Macaca fascicularis: one gene and its partners. The protein of the gene in region 2 purifies or fractionates together with the protein of the main gene of each other region. This does not show direct contact. Links are inferred from orthologs where the notes say so. Each region holds a gene or a part of one and is shown on either strand. Other genes may lie near its edges. The genes, in order: CDK8, MED12L and CDK19.

Evidence for each region.
Region 1: the proteins of MED12L (region 2) and CDK8 purify together in Homo sapiens (affinity purification with mass spectrometry; 3 studies listed by BioGRID and IntAct, counting the BioPlex papers as one, with this or other methods). This does not show direct contact. The link is inferred for Macaca fascicularis from reciprocal best matches to the Homo sapiens genes MED12L and CDK8.
Region 3: the proteins of MED12L (region 2) and CDK19 purify together in Homo sapiens (affinity purification with mass spectrometry; 3 studies listed by BioGRID and IntAct, counting the BioPlex papers as one, with this or other methods). This does not show direct contact. The link is inferred for Macaca fascicularis from reciprocal best matches to the Homo sapiens genes MED12L and CDK19.

The regions. Positions count from the first base shown.
Region 1 is NC_088391.1:6,446,251-6,449,907, reverse strand, and holds part of CDK8 (cyclin-dependent kinase 8), read right to left. Parts: intron 1,476-3,657; coding exon 1,406-1,475; intron 631-1,405; coding exon 558-630; intron 1-557.
Region 2 is NC_088376.1:54,230,586-54,234,242, reverse strand, and holds part of MED12L (mediator of RNA polymerase II transcription subunit 12-like protein), read right to left. Parts: intron 2,747-3,657; coding exon 2,635-2,746; intron 172-2,634; coding exon 82-171; intron 1-81. UniProt on the Homo sapiens protein: May be a component of the Mediator complex, a coactivator involved in the regulated transcription of nearly all RNA polymerase II-dependent genes.
Region 3 is NC_088378.1:14,658,060-14,661,716, forward strand, and holds part of CDK19 (cyclin-dependent kinase 19), read right to left. Parts: intron 648-3,657; coding exon 504-647; intron 348-503; coding exon 278-347; intron 1-277.

The DNA of each region.
Region 1 (3,657 bases), on a different chromosome or scaffold from region 2:
GTTAGTGCATGGATATAATTAGATTCTAGGTTAAATCATTTTTCCATTACACACTGATAAATATGGCATCTATCACATTCTTCCAGAAAAATCAAATGGCACATATAATTGCTGAAGGACTGTTAACATTTAAGGTTATAAGAGGTATTTAGGAAGTTAACTTTGTAAACAGTCTTTCAAAGAGCTGAAATACAAAACAATCTATCAATGGTGAGAAGTATTTTCTTCTTGATACTTCTCTGAAACTTTTAAAATTTTAAAGTAACAGATGAAAAACAATACACGTAATTTTATAAATGTTTTGACAGATTTGTTCCCATCACTATCTTTAGAAAATCTAGCGTGACCAAACGTTAGTCTGTCAAACCATGAGATGAGTCTGGAAAAGCAAATATTTTATTGTCTTTATTGGTATGCACTAACAAGCTCTGCATTCACCGTGAAAGCGCTCTGCATGTGAGCTAAGTAACCATATCAATTGATCCAAAAAAGCCTCAGTTGGGCCAGTCAATTAAGGAAAAAATGCATTTCATTAATACTGTTTATCTAAAGCTTACCAAGTGGAATGCTTTACTATCTGGTTTAACTTTATGTTTTTCCATATACTTGATAAGGCTGCAGTTGGTATACCTGAAAGAGAAATACTATGAAATAGCTATATTAGACTTGAGGTTAACTTTACATTGGCTAAAGTTCTTCTGATAAGAATTATTTTGATCATAACTGATATACAATATATACTGAAGAGTACGAGCATAAAAGGAGTAGAATTAAATCAGTTTTATATTTCATTCAATATCCACAATGGTCACTTTTGAAACGATACCAATGATTAAATGTAAGACGATTTCATGAATAACAGACACTAAACAGCTTTTTCTTAATATGAATTTAACATTTTAAATAACATCTGGGTCAAAAGTTTAATTCAGCCTTACATATAAGTGTAAAATACTTTTGTCATAGGTATATAAACGAAACTCTCCCAATCCCTGATTTTGCATTGTAAACAGGTGAAATATTCATTCTTCGCTATTAAAAATTGTTTAAAATTACTGTAACCTAGATTGGTAAGCAAGTGGCTATTAGCAAAGTGTATTTATTTAGACTCTTATTTATTCAGCTGTGATACTTCTAATGTCTAGCTTCCAAAAAGTAGTAAATATGGAAAGAAATGAATTTGTTTTATATCCAAATCAGCTGCTAATATTAGTTGCTTTTGTATATAATCATTTAAGCATCTTAAGAAATAAAGACTGTCATCATGAAAAATATTTATTAGAGTAAATAAGTAAAATTTATTAGCATAATCTTATTTTATTATGATGAATATTCAGTCTTATACTGAGTACTCTGGTAAAGCAAAAATCGACAAGGGGTCTTTTTTTTTTTTTTTTCAACTTACGTATTTCTTCTGAAATCTTTCATTAATGTTGAATGTTCAGGCATCTTTTTTATATCTTCCCAATCTTTATCTGTGAAATACATTGATAAATTTTTATGTTGCCTAAGTTCCTATTTTTGAGAATTTTTATATTACCACGTTCATTACACTTCCTATACATTCAAACCCCATAAAAAAAAGCTCAGTCTTCAAATAAATGTTCAGCAACAGTAAACATCTTCAACTGTAAACATAATTCCTTATCCCTTGTATAACTTTAGATATCTGTTTATCTTTTTAAATTTCAAACTGCAAACTTTCTGTATGTTTTACTATAAGCTGCCTCAATTTCTCTCACTAGAGAAGAATGTTATAAATATTTCTATTTATCTTATTAAATGTCCTATTTCTATTAGTAAAACTGCTTATTTTCCCTTTTCTACCAAATTTCTTGGTTGAATCAGCAATTAATTTCTTCAATGAGAAATCTAAGATCTTCCCCTCAGTGGCTTTAAACTGTATTTCTTTTTATGATACAGCCCTCCTTTCACCTTATTAAATATATTTCTTTACATAAGCAATCAATGTAAGTGGTAATAACTATTTGCAGAATAGGGTAGGATATAATTAGTATATTAATGTCGGCTGGTACCTTGGCTAGTCTCAGTAACATTACCCAAAACAACCTCAGTTCCTAAATACATTAAGTACAAAACGTTTCAGCTACTTTTGCTGGCATCAGAGTTGCTCAAACAATACATGCTACATAATTTGTTTTCTCCATCACTGTCAATGGGTTTTCCTGAGAGTCTACTAGGTGCACAGGACTGTCAGGGGCAGCTTAATAGCACCTTGAGTATTTTTTTTTTTTTTTTTTTTTTTGGAGACGGAGTTTTGCTCTTGTTAACAGCCCAGGCTGGAGTGCAATGGTGCGATCTCGGCTCACCCCAACCTCCGCCTCCCAGGTTCAAGCGATTCTTCTGCCTCAGCCTTCCGAGTAGCTGGGATTACAGGCATGCGCCACCATGCCCAGCTAATTTTGTATTTTTACTAGAGACAGGGTTTCTCCATGTTGGTCAGGCTGGTCTCAAACTCCCAACCTTAGGTGATCTGCCCACCTCGGCCTCCCAAAACCTTTAGCTTTTAAATGGCCTTCAGAGGCTTGCTTTTCTTTGAACTTACTTGTAAAAATATTTGGCAACTATCTTCCAAAGATATCACATATTGGAAACTAAACATACACTTACACTCCTAAATGGAATTTTCTCCTTAACTATTTCCTTGCTCCAATTTCTCTATCTTATCGACTTCTCAAGCTAGAAATCTTAAGATAATCTTTTAGTTTTCCCTTGCTTATACACTTCCTATAAAACATTTCCATCTGCCCTTTTTTCTCCATCCTTATTATCACTCTCACTTTATGTCTGCAGCACTGCTACAGCTGGTTTCTGATTTCGCTTACCTCTTTTTAACTGAGTTTTACCTACCACTACCTTACTAATCTTTCTAAAATGTAGCATAAATCATGTCTCTAGTACTGAAGAACTTATCATGGATTCTCATTCTTTAGCTATCAAATCTAACCTCTGCTGCCTGCTTTCCAAGCTTCCTTATAAACCACCCTAACCTCTGAAACACACATTAAGAGTTGCTGATAGATGTCCTCACTCCATATATTCCCTCACAGAAGCTATGCCTTTCTCATGGGCTCAGAAATGGTGGACACATTCAGAAGCAGGAAGAAAAGAGAATTCTTCTGTCTCTATTCAAACCACACCTATTTTTTAAACATTCTACATATAGCAGTACAATGTAAACTCCAAGAGGGCGATAATCCTGTCTGTTACATCATCAGTAACTTTTTACTTAAAACAGTGCCTGGCACATGGCAGGTACTTAATAAATATTCACTGAATAAATAAAATTCCTATCACAACAGAGGTCTTCTTCAAACCGGTGACCAATTTTGGAGAAAGGCAGTAACTGTGTAGTTATTCTGCATTTACTGATAATTAACACCCTTACAAGGGAATGTAGAATTAAAAGTCTCAGGTATTATCTCTATTAGTCTTGAGTTAAGTACTTGAGTAGCCAAAATTTAGGTGTTCTAAACAAATTCTCATTATTCTGGACCTCTGAGCAGTTTCTGGTGATCACTGTTCTGTAGTATAACTAGGGATTGAGATACAGTTGGAGAGATCTAATGCCAGGGATGGGATACATGTAAACCATCTCTGTGTTGCAAAACAGCAGGCCAACTCACCACAGAGTAC
Region 2 (3,657 bases):
ACTTAGGAGAAGTGGAAAGCTGGAGTTATTTTCACATGTAGATATGTTTAATGAAGGGAAAATACTAGAAATGTCTCTTACCAAATTTAGGCGGAGTTGCAATGCTTCGTGCATCATCTGCCGCGCTTTTATGTCATCTTGGTATCGTTCTTCTCTCCAGTTACTTAAAATCTAAGATCAGGAAAAAGAAATCATTTTCTCTCCATTAAAGTTTAATTTTTCTCTCAATTAAAGATAAATTGAGCTTTATACTGATAGCAAAAAGCAACTTCTTATCTTTAACAAATTAAGAAACAAAGCTAAATAAAATTTTAGCTTTCTTCTTCCTCTATGCAGACAGAAATCTGGCTAGTTATTTTGCATTTACCCATCTAGGTGGAAGAAGAAAATCTTATATAATTATATAACCTATGATTAAGTCTGGGAAAATGCTTGAGAGGGCTATCACATTTAGCATTAATAAAAATTTTAAAATACATTACCTCATTGGTCTTACGAACAAAAACACTGGAGAGACAGAATTACATTTTGCCTCAGTCCTGTGTTATATTTCTAGGGACTTGCTGTGAATCCTAGCAAATGTATTATTTTGATGTTTTATAGAAGAGAAGGTCTGCTATCTTATGTATGTGTCTTCCTTGATAAAGTGAATGCACAGTGCTTTGAAAAATATGGCATTGTAGACATCAGCCAAGTGGCTTATCAGTTTATAAAGTGGGCTGCTTCTTCACTTCCTCACTGACTCATACTAATGCTGGAAAAGGAAAAATTTGCTTAGGAAAGGGAGCCACAAGTGGACAACACCCTAGAATCAGATGACATGAGCAAAAAAAAAAAAATTGCAATTCAAAACAAAAACAAAAAACCACCAACAAAAACCCTACCATGCTCTGAAATATGGTCGTTAATGACAGTCATCTTAAAAGAGTTCAAATGAATCACATGCAAAAGTACTCCATCCCAACAGATGACCTGTAAGTACCCTGCATGGTGAGACGAAAGCACTTCCTAAATCTCATCAAAAGAAATGAACCTCTTCTCAAGGCTGGCTTAAGGGGGCAAGGCAGTTAACTAAACAAGCTCTCATGGAGTTCAAATAATAGTAGTGGGACCAATAAAACTAAGTGTAACAAGTGATTTGAGGCATGCAATGGCATAGAGAATAGCTATGCTCCTACTTTTAGAGGGTGATCAAGGCCTCCCGAAGGAGGTAACATCTGAACAGAGACCTGAATGAAGGAAGGGAGCAGGCCATGCTAATATCTGGAAGGTAATCTTTCCACCAAAAGGTAAGAAAAGATGCACAGGCACTGAAATGAGAATTTGCTCAGCAAGTTCAAGGAACAGTAACATGGCCAGCCAGTGCAACAACAGTGGAGGAAAGAGGGCCATGACTGGTAGGAGACAAGGTAGACGAGAGAGCCAGTGTCAAATCATGCCTGCCCTTATCAGCTAGAATTTTTATATTAGGTATACTGAGGTAATATGTGACTTACATTTAAAAAGGTTCACTATGACTGCTATATCTAGATCTTTCATATCCAAAAGGCGAGAAATGACAACAGGATCAAAAAAGATTTAGTGTCCTTGTCCATGTCCATCTAGTACCATTCGAGGGAAAGACATGGTGTCACAGAAACACAGCGCCACAAGAAGGGGTCGATTAGGCTCTGCATCAGGATAAAACACCTCATAAGACCAATCTATCCACTTTATTAATTCCATGCTCTCCAATTTCTACTGTGAATGCTCAGTCTCCTTATAGTACATAGATGCAAGAGCCCCAAACAGTGACCAGGAGAACTGTGTTTGGTGAAAAGGCAATGTCCAAATTATTTCTAAATAAACCAATATGCCTTCTGATTTATTTCTTGTGTATTTGGTTGGCATCAGTAAAACTGAGTTTCTGAACCTACAGATTTCAAGCTGAAACTGTGCCTGATAATGTGGCATCCAAGCTTGAGGAGCTGGACTCACTGCCATGTCTACTGCAGCATAGATTCCTCCAGGTCCTCTCCTAAGAGGCAAAGTTAGGAGAGGGGCAGATACTTCGAAGTTATATGCAATATGTAAAATTTTACTTTTATAGGCTGTACATATTTATTGTACATATCATTAATATAAAGTTGTTAATCTTGTGGTGTCTAGAATGCCAGGTAGAAGAACAGGGCATGGATTGTTTCCCAGCATCTTCTCAAAACATTTTGTACCCTTATTAGTTTTTTTGTTTGTTTGTTTCTGTTTTTTTTTTTTTTTTTTGAGACGGAGTTCCACTATTGTTTCCCAGGCTGGTGTGCAATGGCGCGATCTCAGCTCACTGCAGCCTCTACCTGCCAGGTTCAAGCAATTCTCCTGACTCGGCCTCCCGAGTAGCTGGGATCATAGGTGCACGCCACCATGCCCGGCTAATTTTTGTATTTTTAGTAGAGACGGGGTTTCACCATGTTGGCCAGGTTGGTCTCAAACTACTGGCCTCAAGTGGCCCACCAGCCTCGGCCTCCCAAAGTGCTGGGATTACACAGGCATGAGCCACCTCACTCAGCCCTTTTTAATTTAATTTCAGTATTTGAAAGGCAAATAAATGAATGCCATTAGAAAGATATTTCCCTGGCTTAATATTATACTATACTTTACCTGGTTAACTTGATTCTGGAGAGATGTTAGGAGGCCTTCCCTTTGTTCATCTTGTCCCTTAAGGCAGGTAAGTACCAGTGAGAGGAAGGGTTGTTGACTCAAAAGAGACATACTACAAAGGAAGTAATAACAGCAGATCTAGTTAGAAATAATGCATTACTTCCTCTGGCAACATTCATTTCTTTGCCTCACTATTAGATAAATAAGGGAAGTGGTAAATAACCAAAGGCTGCTTGAAAATTTAAATCATACCTCTACTTATAAGATTAAAAGCCACTGTAATGCTTCTAAATCATTTGGTATGCTCTAATTGCCCTCGAAGCCATTCTCAAACTACCATCAATCCATACTGTACATGCGCATGCCAGGCAGTGAGGGTAGAAGACAGTGAATTCATGTTCTACATCAAGACGCAGGATTTTAAAACATACATCAGAAAGAATATCAATTTATACACAGGATAAAATTAAAAAATTTTTAAGTTCTCACATAAAACTCTTATTTTAGAGTCTGGGAAAAGAGGCCTATATGTCTGTTGAGCTTGTTTTGGGGTTTGTTTTTCAGCACATTTCCCAAGACCAAAAAGCAGCATATTAGTAGAGCTAATTTAGCAGCCAGGACTGATGATTCCAAAAACAGAGTATTTGCTAGCGACCTCTAGTGTGCAGCTCCAACACAGCCCACAGGCCCCAATACAGCCCGCAGCCTCCACTGGTAGAGGGGTGTCAAGGCATTTGGTTAAAAATTCTGTTTTAAATTGGCATTTTAACAAAATGTCCTCAATGAGAAAACAATCAACAAATCATATTGACAAACAAAGCGCCATGTTGGAAAGAAAAATTTCTTAAAATGAGACCTAGGCCAAAATATTTCAATCAGCATCATCCTACATGGGCAGAATGAAGAGCCCCTGACGTGGGAAGAGCAATCTTTCAAGTCTCTTCAATGCCATCTGTCCTGCCTGTGGGAAGTGAGGCAATGCACATACACTCAACTATTAGCAAATATGATTTGAAAATTAAA
Region 3 (3,657 bases), on a different chromosome or scaffold from region 2:
TTTGCTTTCAGGAGTGGGACTAATGCCTTGTAAAAGAGGCATCACACAGCATCTGCCCCTTTTTGCCCTTCTATCTATGTGAGGACACAGCAACAAGGCACCACCTTGGAAGCAGAAAACAACCTTCACGGGACTCCAAACATGCCAGTGCCTTGACCTTGGATTGTCCAGCCTCAAGGCCTGGGAGAAAACAAATTCCTGTTGTTTATAAATTACCCAGTCTAAGGTATTTTTTTACAGCAGCACAAAAAGACTAGGACTGTGTGGAATTACTTACGTTGTTCTTCTAAAGTCTTTTTGAAGTGTGGGATATTCTGGCATCTTTCTAATATCTTCCCAGTCTTTATCTTACAAAAAAATTAAATATTGTTATAGAAAATAATGTGTTAATTTAAAATCTCCCAATTATGTCAGTTTATAAATATACATTAAATTTTGCTTTTGAGAAGAAATGATTTTGAAATATGACTCAAAATACGACTTTAAAAAGGAAAATAAATTACCTGCAGGAAACCCCATGACACTAAATATCCGATCCAGTTGATCATGATGAAATGGATTGCTTGTTTTTATATCTTCCTGACGACAGTGAAAAATAGGTTCTGAAGTCAACAATTCAGCAAATATACAACCTATTGCCCATATATCTAGGAAAGAAGAAACATAAGTTTTTGTATATATTTCCTTGGTTATAATTCCCAGATATAATCCCAGCCTACTTATAAAAATACTTTTCAGTAAATCAATATACAAAGTACAATAAGTGCATTAAGAAAACATTATTGTACTTTGTATTTTAACATATGTGTGGGTATGTGTGTGTATATATGTATGTATACATATGTGTGTGTGTGTATATATATATGAGACATGAAATAACTATATCATCATGTAACAGATTGAAAGCCAAATAATAAAAAGACATTTACTTGTAAATTTTCTGATGACAATAAACAGGGTAAGTCAATTTAGCAAAAAACAAATTCTTTAGATTTAGGCAAAGGTCTTTCTAACCACTTTTTTTGTTGTTGTTTTTGGGGTCTCTGTCACCCAGGCTGGAGTACAGTGCTGTAATCATGGCTCCCTGAAGCCTTAAACTCCTGGGCTCAAGCAATCCTCCTGCCTCAGCCTCCAGAGTAGTTGAGACTATGGGTGTGTGCCACTGTACTTGGCTAAGTTTTTAGTTGTTTTATAGAGACAAGGTCTCACCATATCTAACCACTGTGAATAATTTAATCATTAAAGTATTCAATTGATAATCTAATACCAGGCATAGTACTCAGATCTGATATACTGAAATAATATCATCATCAGACATAGTGATGTAATTCTTTTAAAGCCATCCAATGTATAATGATAGAGCAGAATTTACAAGTTTTGAGTCTCGACAGACAGTATAGACCATATAAAAGAACTGGGGAGGATGGGCGCGGTGGCTCATGCCTGTAATCCCAGCACTTTGGGAGGCCGAGGTGAGTGGATCACTTGAGGTCAGGAGTTCGAGACCATCCTGACCAACATGGCGAAACCCTATCTCTATTAAAAATACAAAAACTTAGCCAGGTGTGGTGGCATGCGCCTGTAGTCCCAGTACTCAGGAGGTAGATGCAGAAGAATCACTTGAATCCAGGAGGCAGAGGTTGCAGTGAGCTCAGATTGCACCACTACACTCCACCCTGGGCAACAGAGCAAGCAAGCCTCTGTCTCAAAAAATAAAATAAAATAAAAAGAATTGGGGAAAAAACTTTTGTCTCAAAGACTACTAGCTTCAGCTTTTTCAACAAATTGCTCTAGAAGCTCATAAATAATACTATATATAGTACTGCATGACATAGATCTTACTTAAACATATTCACTTATATGCTACCCCACATCCACCCCACCCCTCAGGATAAAGTTAGGCATCTTTAGAAGTTTTATTAACTATCTAAAATCACCAGTCATAGATTATTCTATTAAAATTTACACACTGAAAGACTGCAGCTTATATTCTGAGACTACAATATTATATTCACAATGCTTTGACAGATGTATAAGTGAATTAACTTTTGTGAGACTTGCCCACTTAAATGCCATTTAGTAAATATTTTTTAAAAAGAAGACAGTCTGTGTGTGGTGGCTCACGCCTGTAATCCCAGCACTTTGGGAGGCTGAGGCAGGCAGATAACCTGAGGTCAGGAGTTCTGACCAACATGGTAAAACCTTGCCTCTCCTAAAAACACAAAATTAGCTGAGCGTGGTGGCCCATGCCTGTAATCCCAGCTACTTGGAAGGCTGAGGCAGGAGAATTGTTTGAACCTGGGAGGTGGAAGTTGTAGTGAGCGGAGATCGCGCCACTGCACTCCAGCCTGGGCAACAAGAGAGAAACTCCATCTCAAATAAATAAATAAATAAATAAATAAAATAAAAGATAAAAATTCAAAAACTATGGTATAGGTTGGGCACGGTGGCTCACACCTGTAATCCCAGCACTTTGGGAGGCCAAGGTGGGTGGATCGCTTGAGGCCAGGAGTTCAAGGCCATCCTGGCCAACATGATGAAACCCCATCTCTACTAAAAATACAAAAATTAGCCAGGTGTGGTGATGTACGCCTGTAGTCTCAGCTACTTGGGAGGTTGAAGCAAGAGAATCCCTTGAACCCAGGGGGCGGAGGTTGCAGCGACTCAAGATCACACCACTGCACTCCAGCCTGGGCGACAGAGCAAAACACCATCTCGGAAAAAACAAAAAACTATGGTACAGAGATAAAAAAGTACTGTGTTTAGTAGCCTATTAAATATGGGAATCACATTCTGCGATGAGCTAAACAAGGAAAAAGGTTAATTACACTATTCCTTCCTCATCCAAGTTTTTGCCTTCCAGTTTCAGTTACCTGCAGTCAACCACTGCAGTTCGAAAATACTAAATGGAAAATTCCAGAAATAAACAATTTATAAGTTTTAAATTGTGTACCATTCTGAGCAGTGTGATGAAATTTCATGCTATTCTCTCCATCTTCCCGGGATGTGAATCATCCCTCTGTTCATCCACACTGTATACTCACTACCTGCTGGTTAGTCACTTAGTGGTCGTCTGGGTTATCAGATCAAAGAAACACTATATACAGGGTTTGGTGCTATCTGCAGTTTCAGGCATCCCCTCGGGGGGTCTTGGAACATATTCCCACCTGATAAGTGAGGACTACTGTATATCCATTAGCTAGAAGACATATCAGAATGCTCTCTCCTGAAACGAATTGCCAAATGGAAAAATCCATACAGTAATGCCTTACTTATTTGACCACATTCAGGTACAGTTTCCTTCCACATAATTTAGCCTTTTGGATAATGGAAACATATTCCTTCAACAACCATTTTTTAATTACACCATTGCCTGCCACCATAAGAGGCTATAAAACACAATGTAATCCTCACTACAGAGTAGAAGAATAATACTGCTCAGTGTCCATTTCTGAATTCTTCTCTCTCTCTCAAGTCATATTGGTTGTCACTCTTCCCCCTGATATGGCTGCCTCTGATGGTCCCATCTCTCTTCCTCATTACCGCCTCTACTATGCAGTCTACCAGGACTACTACTGCATACGCCTGGTCACGCCAATTCCTGGTTTGTCCTCCATCCAAAGGACAAGAGCCAGGGTCTTGAGTTCCCAGTGAACT